Saccharomyces cerevisiae S288C: one gene and its partner. The main gene of each other region encodes a partner of the protein of the gene in region 2 in a complex. Each region holds a gene or a part of one and is shown on either strand. Other genes may lie near its edges.

Region 1 (5,656 bases), on a different chromosome or scaffold from region 2:
ATTGTAAAAGAACACATTGAGAATTTAAGGTCATTCAACGTCCCGGAGAACTCTATAGGTGTTATTTCTCCATACAATGCACAAGTTTCTCATCTGAAAAAATTGATCCATGATGAATTAAAATTAACTGATATTGAAATATCAACTGTAGATGGGTTCCAGGGCCGTGAAAAAGATGTTATCATATTGAGTTTAGTTCGTAGCAATGAAAAATTTGAAGTTGGTTTCCTTAAGGAAGAACGAAGACTGAACGTCGCCATGACAAGACCCAGAAGGCAACTAGTTGTTGTTGGCAATATAGAAGTTCTGCAAAGGTGCGGTAACAAGTACCTAAAAAGTTGGTCAGAATGGTGTGAAGAGAACGCTGACGTAAGGTACCCCAACATTGACGATTATTTGTAAAGAATACACAAGATGTATAGAGTATACGTCGTTATACAGTAGGTAAAAAATGTTCGTTATATATTATATCCTCTAGTATATCAATGCAGTAGCAGCAGTCATTCATCGTACACGTAAAAATCTACTGTTTCGTCTGCGGTAACAAACATCGAATATTTAGGGTTGAATGCAATTGACCTGGGGCAGGTCTCATGAGAAACACAGGGAATGAACCCTTGCGGCCTTAATACTTTGTTACTTATTGAATCAGAATGATTCCAAATGGCAATCCTACCGTCATAATCGGTTCCAAGGACGAATTCACCATCTGGTGTGAAACAAGCAGATCCAGAATCTAGAAATTCTCTCATCGGGAAGGCCCTTGTTCCTATTAGTTCGAATAATTGTTGACCTGTGAATGCGTCAAAAATTAAATGCTTTCCTATCGAGGAGCCAACTAATAAATACTTTCCATTGTTAGAAAATTCTAATTTATTCCATTGACTGAAAGTCGCATCATTAATTTTAATTATCAAGAAAGGACCCTCCTGAATTTTTTTCAGATTATATAGCCCTATTTCGAAATTCTCTGGGTTCCCCAATGCGAATACAAGGCCACTTGGATCATATGCGATACAATTTGGTACGAGACTTGGTATAATAACTTGCGGTTTAGAGATCTTCAAATCCCAAAGCCTAACGGATTCATCGTATGACGACGATAGAAACGTATCGTTCACGGGGTTCATCTTCAAATCATTCACTAGGGCGCCATGACCGGAAAAATATCTTAGATATTGGTTTGTTTCCAGATTAAGGTATTTAATGTCAAAATTTTTCATTGTAGAGGAATAGATACATTCGTTTTGTGCGTGCGTAAAGATAGCGGAGTGACAGCCATATTTCTTAGAGGCTATAGTGTCCAAGAATTTGCAGTTCGTGGCACTGTACAATTGCATTGTATCGTTGGAAGAAGAGGTCAGTAGAAACTGGCCATTATCGTCGAAATTCAATGAGGTTACGGGTCCGCAGTCTTTTTCTTGAGGTTGAAAGCTTTTAACATGCTTGAATTTCAGCAGGTTGGGCTTATTGATGGACACGGTGGTCATTGTTGGCTATGCTAAAAGGACAAACGGTGTATTTGCTTGTGCTTTGCTCGATATTTTAGTCTTGCTTTCATTTTTTTTCTTTCTTTTTTAATGTACTAGTGCTAAACTGCATGAAGAAAAAATGGGTAAAAAAAGGTATCGAATAAATGAGTGTAGGTAACAGTTAAACAGCAAAAAGAAGGAGCAAAAGAGAGTGAAGATCAGATCGTAACATATTGCAAGATGTTGGGAATGATAAGGTGGGTAGTAGAGGGGACGTTGGTAGCTATGCTCCTATCGGCAATAAGAAGGGAGACGGGAATGATATTCTTTTACAACCAGTATCAGTTGGGCGGCTGGATACATAGATATCTGTCATGGGGAGAGATGTGCTACACAAGGACGCTGAAGATGGTTAAACGTTCTAAATTTTTCAGAAAGCAGTTGAACGAGGACGGGTTTGGACGCATCAATGATAGCGGTCCAAAACGAAGGGGAAGAGATCAATCTCAATACAGCAGTAGGTTTGTAGAACTAGATTAAACTTGCGTGCATGCACGTACACACGTAAATATATTCGTACAAATAGAGTGCTTACATATATTCAGTTCAGATTATTTATTTTGTGGTGCCACAAGTTTTTTCTAATAGGATCGTATTTGATTGCTAGCAAGCTATAGGCCTTAACAGCGTTGTCTCGGGTACAAGGGTCTGCCCCCCAGTGATATGCCAGGAATTCCAGGGCATATGAGGACTCGATCTCGGGCAAATCCTCTGGTGAGCCAATTGGAAGTGACAATACGTCACCGATGAAGGTTGTGGCGAAGTCGACTACTTTGCTATCCCACTGTAGCCTATCATGGAATAGCTCTTGGAAACCACGGAGGTAGGTCCACGGACTGATGTTCTGCGGAACCAATTGAATCTTGTCCATAATGAACTGGAGCTCGTCGGCCAATTCCACTTTTGAAATGACATCTTTAGCGTTCACCCAGTAAAACATCCTATGAGTCCATGCGCTGTTGTTATAAATGTCTGTCTCGATGAGGTCGCTGGCGTAGGCGAGCTCATGTTGAAAGTCACTGAAGAACAAACAGCACCACTTTCTGTACGACCAAACGTGATAATTCTTGGAATCATCATCAATCATCAGTTTTAAGATAGGCAGCTCTCTTTTGAAGGAAGGAGACGGATGTAGCTTCAAAAGAGACTGTCTATAGGACCAGATCTGATAGTTCTTTGGATTATTCAGCGTAACTTCATCTAGCCAGTCTAATTCCTTGTTCAGGTACAAGACAGTGTCTTCGGATTCACTCATCATGTGCCTGACGATATTGAATCGGTAGTTCCATATGGTGTAGAAGGCTGGCGCCACGTCGATAATTTCGGCTGTTAGCTGTAGTGCCCTGGGTGACAGTTCGTTAAGGCTGATCAGAGCCCTTGCGAGTCCCATCAACCGCTTATAATCCTCGGTATACATAATCCTGCACAGTTCATCCTGCAAGTCTGTCTCAATGGGCAAAGGTTTAACGTCTGAATAATCGTACTCCTCCATTTTCGATGGTGTACGTTGTATCAGCACTTGATATATAATATACCATAATTAACAGTCTTGCAGTAGGTCTGCACCAACAGTTAAGGACCAATTTAACAGAATGTCAAAAGCGAAACTTTGCTGATGTGTTTTATCACGAGGCCCAATCGAAAACCGGCGCGAGCACTGCTGCAACCTTCAAAAATGAGAGAGCGCTTCCCAGCAGGTCTCTAGTTGCATATGGATAGCGTCATGATGAATATAGGTCAGCATAGGGCTCTGGAAGGCCTGGCATTATCGGTTATTGTCGCTATTGCTGCCCTTTTCTCTGCTCGTGTAAGGTGACATTGTTGTATTCCCGCTTTTTTCGTTTCAATTTTAACGGCAAGGAGCAACCATGAAAGTAAGATGATCGCATGAACTGAAAATGTCAACGAAACTCATTCAAAATAATTATACTCTAGATATCCTCTAAACGACTAATCACAACAGTAGTACACCACTGAAAATGATGAGTGGCACAGGAAACGTTTCCTCGATGCTCCACAGCTATAGCGCCAACATACAGCACAACGATGGCTCTCCGGACTTGGATTTACTAGAATCAGAATTACTGGATATTGCTCTGCTCAACTCTGGGTCCTCTCTGCAAGACCCTGGTTTATTGAGTCTGAACCAAGAGAAAATGATAACAGCAGGTACTACTACACCAGGTAAGGAAGATGAAGGGGAGCTCAGGGATGACATCGCATCTTTGCAAGGATTGCTTGATCGACACGTTCAATTTGGCAGAAAGCTACCTCTGAGGACGCCATACGCGAATCCACTGGATTTTATCAACATTAACCCGCAGTCCCTTCCATTGTCTCTAGAAATTATTGGGTTGCCGAAGGTTTCTAGGGTGGAAACTCAGATGAAGCTGAGTTTTCGGATTAGAAACGCACATGCAAGAAAAAACTTCTTTATTCATCTGCCCTCTGATTGTATAGCGAAGGACAAGTTTTTCACCAGCTCGGACGATCCCACCAACTTGACAATACCCAATAGGGACATCAACGAAAGGACTCTTTTCTTGGACGCCTTTCTTTTGTGTGCATCTAACAACAATAGCAACAACTTCAAGCAGACCTATGTTTGTAATAGATGTATCAACAGGGAAAAAAGAAGAGCGTCGAGAAGAAAGTCTGGGTTGAACGACAACTCCATCTGGCAAAATAACGAAAACAAAAGAGCAATCATATTCAATAGTAAACAACTTTTCATCATTAGTAATAACGGTTTGAGTGGTAACTCTAACTGTATCAATTTCGACTTACCGACGAGAATCGTCTGTTACTGCAGACACCACAAGGCAACTAACGGGTTTGTAGTTTTGTTCCTTCTAAGGGACCATAACGGCGATATCTTGGCGAAAACTATAACAGATCCCATAATGATCATGGACAAGAAAAATGCCAGCAATACCACAACTCCAACCAGCACCAGCAATGCCCAGGTTTCGCCAATGACAAATGACACTAGATCCTTTTCATCGCCGCAAAGTGACTTAAACTTCCCATCCGAATTCCCCCTGCCTTCTAACAGTAAAAATTTTGTCATTTCTACGAACTGTATGCTTGATAGCAATTGTAATAACAACAACAATGATAATGATAACAAAAACAACATTAAGACTAATACCGCAATGATGAACAACAACAGACACTTTCCATCACCAAATTCCTCCAGTGAGGACAGCAACCATTCTTTTTCAGATATTCATTTTTCTAATAACAACGACAACAATTTACATCGTTCACTAGACTCTTGGTCGTCCACAGGTTTTAATAGTTCATCTAATCCCGCTCTTACTACATTAACTAGTGATTTCAGTGCGGCCTCTGCGAGACACACTGGCAAGAGGCAGCGTTCGGTAAACGAGCCTTTTATGTCTACGCCTAATACGTTTTCCCGTCTTCCCCAGAAATTCATCGATTCTTCCAAAGATATATCGAACCATAATAGTGTCCCCGTGGCGCTAAATAACAAGCCTTCTATTCAGCGTGTCATCCCCGCACAAGGTTCCATCAACGGAGGTATAGAAGTGACTCTACTTGGCTCAAAGTTTAAGCAGGGCTTAATCATCAAGTTTGGCGAAAATATAGCATTGTCCAGCCAATGCTGGAATGAATCTACGATGGTGACTTATTTACCGCCTTCATCTAAACCTGGACCGGTTTTGGTAACCATAGTCGACCCAAGTGAAACGTCTATGAGAAATAATAGCAATAGTAGTGTTTCCACCAGCAATAGTACCAATGACATTCTGCACTTAAACAAGTATACCGGTGAGAAAGCAATCTTTACTTATGTTGATGATACTGATAGGCAACTAATTGAATTGGCTCTGCAAATTGTGGGGCTGAAAATGAACGGTAAACTGGAAGATGCAAGAAATATTGCTAAAAGGATTGTTGGCAGTGATTCATCTCCATCTAATAATAACGCAGGATTACACTCACAGAATAGCTCTTTAAATTCGTACACGAATATGATGCGAAATATAAACGATGAACAATTGATCACTGAAGTTATTAAGTCATTTAAGAGAAATAATAATCTCTCTACCGTCAATCTTTCCATGTGTGACGTTAGGGGTAGAACTCTATTACAT
Region 2 (8,037 bases):
TAAAGTCTAAAGAAAAATGAAAAAAAAAAAAAATGAAATTTGTGCTAATAGTAATAATGATAGAAATAATAACAATTAATAAGATGGTTATGATGAACAAAAAGATTTATATTATAAGAACTTGACAATATACAGACTTTTAATATATCCGCAGAGGCAAAAAAATAATAGAGGGAACTATGAAGATTCAGGCGGGCCAATTGGGCCTGGACGATAATGACGTGCCGGGACCATTGCCGGACACAGACAGCAAACCCTCATCACAATCACAAAATGACACACCAATGTTTAAATTGGGCAACTTTGAAAGTCCTGTGCTCAAGGAGCTATCACGGCGAACGGTAAACAAGGAAATGGAGACGCAGAGAATTATGACAAACGTAATTGCGTTTGCGTTCTGGAACCTGCTGGTGAAGTTCATCAAGTTCTTTTGGAACAACACTCATGTTGGGAGACAGTTTTGCAACCGGCTATCCAGAATCCATCTGTACATGTTGACATTTCACACGTTAAAGAAGGCTAACATCATATATCACACCACGTTCAGTTGGTTGAATGCAGAACTTCTTGACTACTTGTTCCACCTATTAATCTCGCTCAATATACTGTTTTCTCTTTGGAAGCTCTTATCCACCGTCAAAGTAAGTGATTTGAATCTCACTGACAGGCAAAAGAAGCTCCTGGGGGTAGACATGCAATCATCTGTCGATACTGGGTTGCAGCCACAACACCCCCACTACGTATCCACTTCTAAGATCAGCCAAATGGCACAGAACAAAACACATATTCCTCAAACAAATCTCAAAAATCATCCAGCATATCTCTTCAAAGGCTTAGAGACGCCTTTGAAAGCAAGACAAAGGGAAATGGCGGAGGAACAGACGAAACTACAATCTCAATCCTTACACACAAAGAATGTATTTGGCACACTGCAGAGGCATAGCGGTATCAGTAGCACATTAGTGAGCGCTAACAATGACAATAACTCGCCGCATACCCCTGTAACTAGGAAGGGCTACATTCCAAGTAGCAAATATGCATATATGATGAACTCACAGTCCCCAAGGGGGAAAATATAAAAACAGCAAAAAAACATTTAATACTTTCCATAGCTATATATGTTTTCTCTCCTATTTATATTTTACATATGATTAGCGGCAACCATTACCAATAGTTTGGAAATAAGTATCTTAGTCTTTCTAAGGTTTCCTTGGACATAGCCTCTGGTTTGGTAGAGATAGATTTCTTGATGGAACCGCGCAGCCCATCGCCAGTATGCATGAACTCTGGGATTTCCTTGGCCATTGAGACGATGATCTTAGAAGCTAAAATATTTGCATTGCGCCCATTATTCGTCAAATTACCAATAACGGTTTCTACGGTAACAGGTTCTGCCTCATCTCTCCATGCGTCGTAATCGGTAGACATACAAATCATCTGGTAAGGCAGCTCACACTCACGCGCCAATTTGGCTTCTGGAATAACACTCATGTTAATAACATGGCCACCAAACATTCTGTACATCTTGGATTCAGCGCGCGTGGAGAATTGTGGGCCTTCCATACACACAACGGTCATATCCTTGTCGTAATGCAAATGGCACGGTTCTTCGGATTCAGGATTTGTTATCTCGTTCTTGAATTGATAGATATACTCTGCGAATTTTTGAGAGAACGGCTGTCCGAAACCAACGTGACCTACCAAGCCTTCATCGTTGAAATATGAAGAATGTCTTATGCCTTTAGTTCTGTCGATTATTTGCTGTGGTAACACAAAATCTCTAGGCTTTATATGGGGTTGTAAAGACCCCACGGCACTAAAAGAAAGAACGGCTTTACAATTTAAGTTCTTTAAGGCCGCCATGTTTGCTCTAAATGGGACTTTAGTGGGTGGGTATTCGTGGTTAATACCGTGTCTGGCTATGAACGCAACGTGAAAGTGGCTGTTAGTTCCTACGAACTGAGAGATTGTGACAGGAGACGATGTGGTACCCCATGGTGTTACCATGGGTGGAAGCAAAGCGATGGGCTCCAGACAGTCAAGGTTATATAAACCTGTACCACCAATAATCCCTAAATCAACAGTTCCTTCGAATATGCTCGGTAATTCTGAGTTCGTCATAACTTTGCTTAGTTTTAATCTCTTAGCAACAGAAAATGTATTCTTAATCCTGTTCATTTAATCTCATCTCATCTCGAAATAGTTTTTTTTCATTCACACGTTCATCTTTTTTCATTTTTCTTTTTCTTTTTTTTGCTTTCTTTTCACATAATTGACAATAAAGGCGTCCTACAATAGAAGCCTTGGTATAACGTAAAAGCCACAGCAAGCATGGTGTACTTCATTTCCGACTCCATTTGCGTATAGACATGTTTCACAGACGCAAAAGACCTTATAACACCAGAAATTATGGCCATGATGACAAGAAATTCAAATCGCAGTACATCGATATTATGCCAGACTTCAGCCCTTCCGGTCTGTTAGAGCTGGAGTCGAATAACAAAGAAGGTATAGCTTTAAAACATGTGGAGCCGCAGGACGCTATTTCTCCAGATAACTACATGGATATGCTAGGACTGGAGGCGCGAGATAGGACTATGTATGAACTAGTGATATACAGAAAGAATGACAAGGATAAAGGACCGTGGAAAAGATACGATTTGAACGGCAGGAGCTGTTATTTAGTCGGTCGTGAACTGGGCCACAGTCTGGATACAGATCTCGACGATAGAACGGAGATCGTTGTCGCAGACATTGGTATACCCGAAGAAACATCCTCAAAGCAGCACTGCGTCATCCAGTTCAGGAACGTTCGTGGCATTTTGAAATGTTATGTAATGGATTTGGATTCGTCCAATGGGACATGTTTGAACAACGTTGTAATTCCTGGAGCGAGATATATAGAGCTACGAAGTGGTGACGTCCTTACACTTTCAGAATTTGAAGAAGATAACGATTACGAACTCATCTTCATGAATGTATAACCATATATAAGAAACACACTTTCAGTGTGTTTTAATTATTCTTCTTTGAATGCTGCTTTATTGCTGTAGGGCAATTTGCTCCAACTCATCGATTATATCCCATACTATGTCTTCAGCTATCTGTTCTTTGTACAATGTATCCAGTGTGTTAACTTTTGAATTCCCGTCAACACAGTAAGCTGATCGGATTTGATCGAGGTACTCCAATTTATCTTCTTCACTAATTATCCTCGCTGTTCCACCGTTAAAACAGCTGATTGTTGGATAGTAACCCAGTTTGTTATTATTTACGTATTTGTTTCTGAGTATCAATCCCTTCTTTTTCTTTTGTTGCTGCTTTTTCTTTTTGGCACTGGTTGTGTTTTTATCATTGGACTCATCACGAGCTTCACCATGTTGCCAATATCCAAGATAGAACTTTTCATTGTATTGTAACTCACTGAACGGTGGTAACAACGGCTTTAAATTTTCAAATGCTTTGCCTAGGTACTTACCATTTTGAAAGATAGCAAGATATGAATCCTCTAACTGGTAATAGTCTTGCCTTTCCCTCTTATCAGAAGAATAATATTCCGGTTTCGTTGTCTTTACATAGTCCGTTGCCTCAAAGAACAACTGGTTCTTATACCTGATGGCGATTTGATCGCGGACGACGTCGTTATATTCAATATCTTCTAATAGCGCCCTTTGAAATTCTTTGTTCGTTGTCTCTTGTTTTAATTTTTTCCTTGAAGGCCCATTCTCAGCATCTTCTCTCCATGGTTCATTCATCGTATCCATATGGGAGTTCAGTGCAAAAATTCTTCTTTTGGTAAACTCCTTAGCTTGTTTGATTTGTGTATGAATGCTAGGAAGACTCAGTAGAAATCCGATTTTATCACCCTCTTTCAATGGCGAACCATTTTCTAGGACGCAATTCAATTTTCCTTCGTGGATAGATTCTAACGAAATGTCTCTAATACCATACCCGTACACATCAAACCCTACGGGAGCCTCTAAACTGGCCTCTCTTCTGCAAACTCCAAATCGTAGATGCGGGGTGTCATTCACTTGTTTGTGCATTTTTTCGTATATGCCACTTTGTACTTCGTCTACTGAATCATCAGCATTTTCCTTATTATTAACACCGTCTGCGAATTTCTTGTTTCCTCCACGAATTACCTCCACTTCCCAATACGTCATTCCTTCTTTAATACACACATCGCTTCTTGCAGTTCTCCAACCGTATTGATCCGGGACACTTACCAGATCATTTCCATCTCGACTAATTGACAACCCTTCAGATCTGTCCATGACGCTCATTCCAGAGTGGTCAAATGGGTATTCTGTACAGCCATACCCCAAAATAGTGAAAAAGGGATTTGCGGAACACGGTCTGTACACAAAATGTCTTCGATTCAATGGAATATCTTCTGTGCGGACAAACTCATAACTTGTACCCTGAACCGATGACTTGATTTGGTGCGTTGCTTCCATCTGTGGTAAATTAGGTCTCTTCCCTTCTTGCTGACCCTGGAGAGCATTCTTGTAAACAATATCAGTACCTTCCTGGTAAGGTATAATACCCAACTTCATTATTAAGGAAGTGAATTATTTGTCTTCGTCCAATTATGGCCACCTTTATCGCTGATATCCTTTGTCTACATCCTTTTTAAACTATAATCACAGATTCTCTATTTTTTTCTTTTACCGCGATGAGCTTCATAAAATACTCACAATACCAAATGTGAAAAATTTTAGTAACGTAAAGTGGTTTGCTTTATTCGCACAGGAGTAACCCTTTAGAGTACATAAAACATACGAAGATGATGATTAAATCATGAAGCAGAAAAAATTTAACTCCAAAAAAAGTAATAGAACAGATTTATCAAAAAGAGGAGATTCTCCTAATATAGGAATTTCCAAATCTAGAACTGCATGTAAACGATGTCGATTGAAAAAAATTAAATGTGATCAGGAGTTTCCTAGCTGTAAGAGGTGTGCAAAATTAGAGGTACCATGTGTTTCTTTGGACCCAGCCACCGGAAAGGACGTTCCAAGATCTTACGTCTTTTTTCTGGAAGATAGATTGGCTGTCATGATGCGTGTGTTGAAAGAATATGGAGTAGATCCCACGAAAATACGAGGAAATATACCTGCTACAAGTGATGATGAACCTTTTGATTTGAAAAAGTACAGTTCAGTTTCATCTTTGGGAGAAGAGGGAATATTGCCACATAATGGCTTATTGGCGGATTATTTGGTTCAGAAAGGGAATTCTATGGCATCCTCAGCTATAACGAGCAAGTCTATGGCAAGCCCACAGACTATAAATGTACAACGCAAGGAATTTCTGGTAAACTCAAAAAAACAAGATGGTAGCGCTTTATTACCCGAGACAGGCAGCCCTATGACTTCAGATGCAAGAGCGGAAGAGCTACGCCGATGTAATAAGGAGATCAGTGCGCTGGGCACGATGAGAGAAAGTAGTTTTAACTCTTTTTTAGGAGATTCATCGGGTATTTCCTTTGCGAAATTAGTCTTCACGGCAACTAATTTTCGTCAAGATTCCGGAGATGACGTTCTGGATGAAGATATTAAACAAAGGGAACAGAAATACAATGGATATGCAGAGGCTGAAAACAATCCACACTTTGATCCATTGGAACTACCACCTCGACATGCCGCTGAAGTTATGATATCCAGGTTTTTTGTAGATACTAATTCCCAGTTACCTTTGCTGCATAGAGAACTTTTCCTGAAAAAATACTTTGAACCTATTTATGGTCCCTGGAATCCCAATATTGCATTGGCATCTGATCAGACAGGCATAAATAGCGCGTTCGAAATTCCAATTACCAGTGCTTTTAGTGCGCATACTGAACCAAAAAGGGAGAACGTTACTGAGAAGATTGACGTATGCTCTTCCGTGGATGTTCCATGGTATGACACTTGGGAGACATCTCAAAAAGTCAACATGCGTCCGATAGTTGAACTACCGACAAAATTTCACATACCTTATTTTTTTTTAAACATTATATTTGCTATTGGCCATGCTACGCAGGTACTTAAGTCAGATATTACTACTGTCGCGACATATAAGAGACGCGCTACTAAATATATTGCATCTTTATTTTCATCTTCAGACAGGTTGGAGGCATTGGCAGGCACTTTGCTCATGGTAATCTATTCAATAATGAGACCTAATGTCCCCGGTGTTTGGTATACTATGGGTTCTGTACTAAGACTAACGGTTGACCTAGGACTACATTCGGAAAAAATTAATAAAAATTATGACGCCTTTACCAGAGAAATACGCAGGCGTCTATTTTGGTGCGTTTACTCCTTAGATCGGCAAATTTGCTCGTATTTTGGTCGACCTTTTGGTATACCTGAAGAAAGCATCACCACCAGGTATCCTAGCCTTTTGGACGATTCCTTCATCACATTAACTAACCGAGAAATTGACGACTACTCAGACTTACCAAGCCCAAATCCGTCTTCAAAAGTTATCGCATTGGCCATGTATAAAATCAGAAGAATCCAAGCTAGTATAGTGAGAATACTCTACGCGCCCGGTGCAGAATTGCCGAGGAGGTTTATGGATCTCGAGAGCTGGCGGATTGAAACCTACAATGAGCTTGAGCGTTGGTTCCAAGTGGACGTTCCCAAAAACTTTGAGATGATGAATTGCAAATTTAACAGCATCTGGTTTGATCTGAACTATCATTACTCGAAGAGCATTCTTTATGGACTTTCTCCAAAATTCCCTACTTTGAATGATACCGCTTTTAAAATTGTCCTGGACAGTACGAAGGGCACCATAGACGTATTTTACAATCTTTGTGTCAATAAAAAAATTGGTTACACGTGGGTAGCAGTTCATAACATGTTCATGACAGGTATGACTTACCTTTACGTAAATTTTTACTCAAAAAACAACATAAATGATTGTCAAGAAAAAGTGTCAGAGTACACTGAAAAAGTGTTGATAGTACTGAAGAATCTGATAGGTTTTTGCGAATCTGCGAAAACCTGTTACACGAGTTACAAAATTTTATCATCAGTTGTAATAAAGTTAAAATTTATGCAAATAAATGATGCCAAAGGGATATTTTCGGATTCAAATCCCCTAACCTCTCAGGCAAACCGCATGTCAAGTTATGATAAAAAAACGAACGTACTTGGTTTTGACGACGGTACTTTTGATAACAAGGTTTTTAATAGAACCAATTTTGAAGAAAAAGCACCTTTTGATATACCTCTAGATGAATTTTTTACCGAACTGGAAAAACACAGCAATGTTTCCCAGTTTAATACTTTAGATGTAAGCGAAGGTAATCAAGTGATAAATGAAAGTGCTTCTACAAATACGTCTTCTGCATTGAATTGCCAGTCGTATACCAATAATCAAGATATCATGGATATCCTTTTCCAGGTTACTTCGGGATCTGTATGGGATGAGTTTTTTGTCAGGTCTGGTAACGGAAACGAAGGCGAGTCTTCTTACGATATCAGTAAAGGAAAGAACTCTGAATCCGGTGGAATATTTTAGCGATAGCTCGAAGAATCATGATCAATGGATTGAAAGTAGGGCCACCAATGCTCTTTTCAATCTATTTTTTGAAAACATGAGAGTCCTAAAAGAGCTAACTTAAATGACCGGGGCAGATTAATTGAAAAGTTTGAGGTTTTTGTGATAATCTTCAAAGTTGAACGCATGTATAAAATGATAGAAGCAACAGTCCATTGAGAAGTATGCCACTATAGTCATATATATATATATATATATATATATATATATTTACGTATTAATTGATAAACTATAATACCAACGGCACTTGATACTTGAATTCATCTTACATTTCCAGTGATGATTTTTTTTTCTGGGACTACGCTGATAAAGAAAAATTGCAAGAACTGAGAAACCACTTGTTTTGTATGGCACTTTGACTTTCGAATAACACATAATGTTCGTTATCAACTGTTTAAAGTCGATAAATGTATAATCACTGCTTTGACATAAGTATATAACATTCCGAGCAGAAATAAATTCTCTTAACGCGTTCTTGTA

What was found. Proteins that work in one complex are often made in the same cells at the same time.
Region 1: BRE2 (region 2) and SWD2 share a complex: the UniProt entries of both Saccharomyces cerevisiae proteins name them as parts of the set1C/COMPASS complex.

The regions. Positions count from the first base shown.
Region 1 is NC_001143.9:399,936-405,591, reverse strand, and holds SWD2 (WD-repeat containing protein SWD2), read right to left. Parts: upstream 1,491-5,656; coding exon 501-1,490; downstream 1-500. Other genes in the region: ATP-dependent 5'-3' DNA helicase HCS1, read left to right, coding at 1-402; MCO12 (Mco12p), read left to right, coding at 1,713-2,012; RAM2 (bifunctional protein farnesyltransferase/protein geranylgeranyltransferase), read right to left, coding at 2,074-3,024; SPT23 (Spt23p), read left to right, coding at 3,512-5,656. UniProt on the Saccharomyces cerevisiae protein: The COMPASS (Set1C) complex specifically mono-, di- and trimethylates histone H3 to form H3K4me1/2/3, which subsequently plays a role in telomere length maintenance and transcription elongation regulation. Involved in mediating RNA polymerase II termination.
Region 2 is NC_001144.5:171,749-179,785, reverse strand, and holds BRE2 (Bre2p), read right to left. Parts: upstream 4,560-8,037; coding exon 3,042-4,559; downstream 1-3,041. Other genes in the region: POM34 (Pom34p), read left to right, coding at 180-1,079; MEU1 (S-methyl-5-thioadenosine phosphorylase), read right to left, coding at 1,165-2,178; PML1 (Pml1p), read left to right, coding at 2,370-2,984; PPR1 (Ppr1p), read left to right, coding at 4,804-7,518; GAT3 (Gat3p), read right to left, coding at 8,022-8,037. UniProt on the Saccharomyces cerevisiae protein: Component of the Set1C/COMPASS complex that specifically mono-, di- and trimethylates histone H3 to form H3K4me1/2/3, which subsequently plays a role in telomere length maintenance and transcription elongation regulation.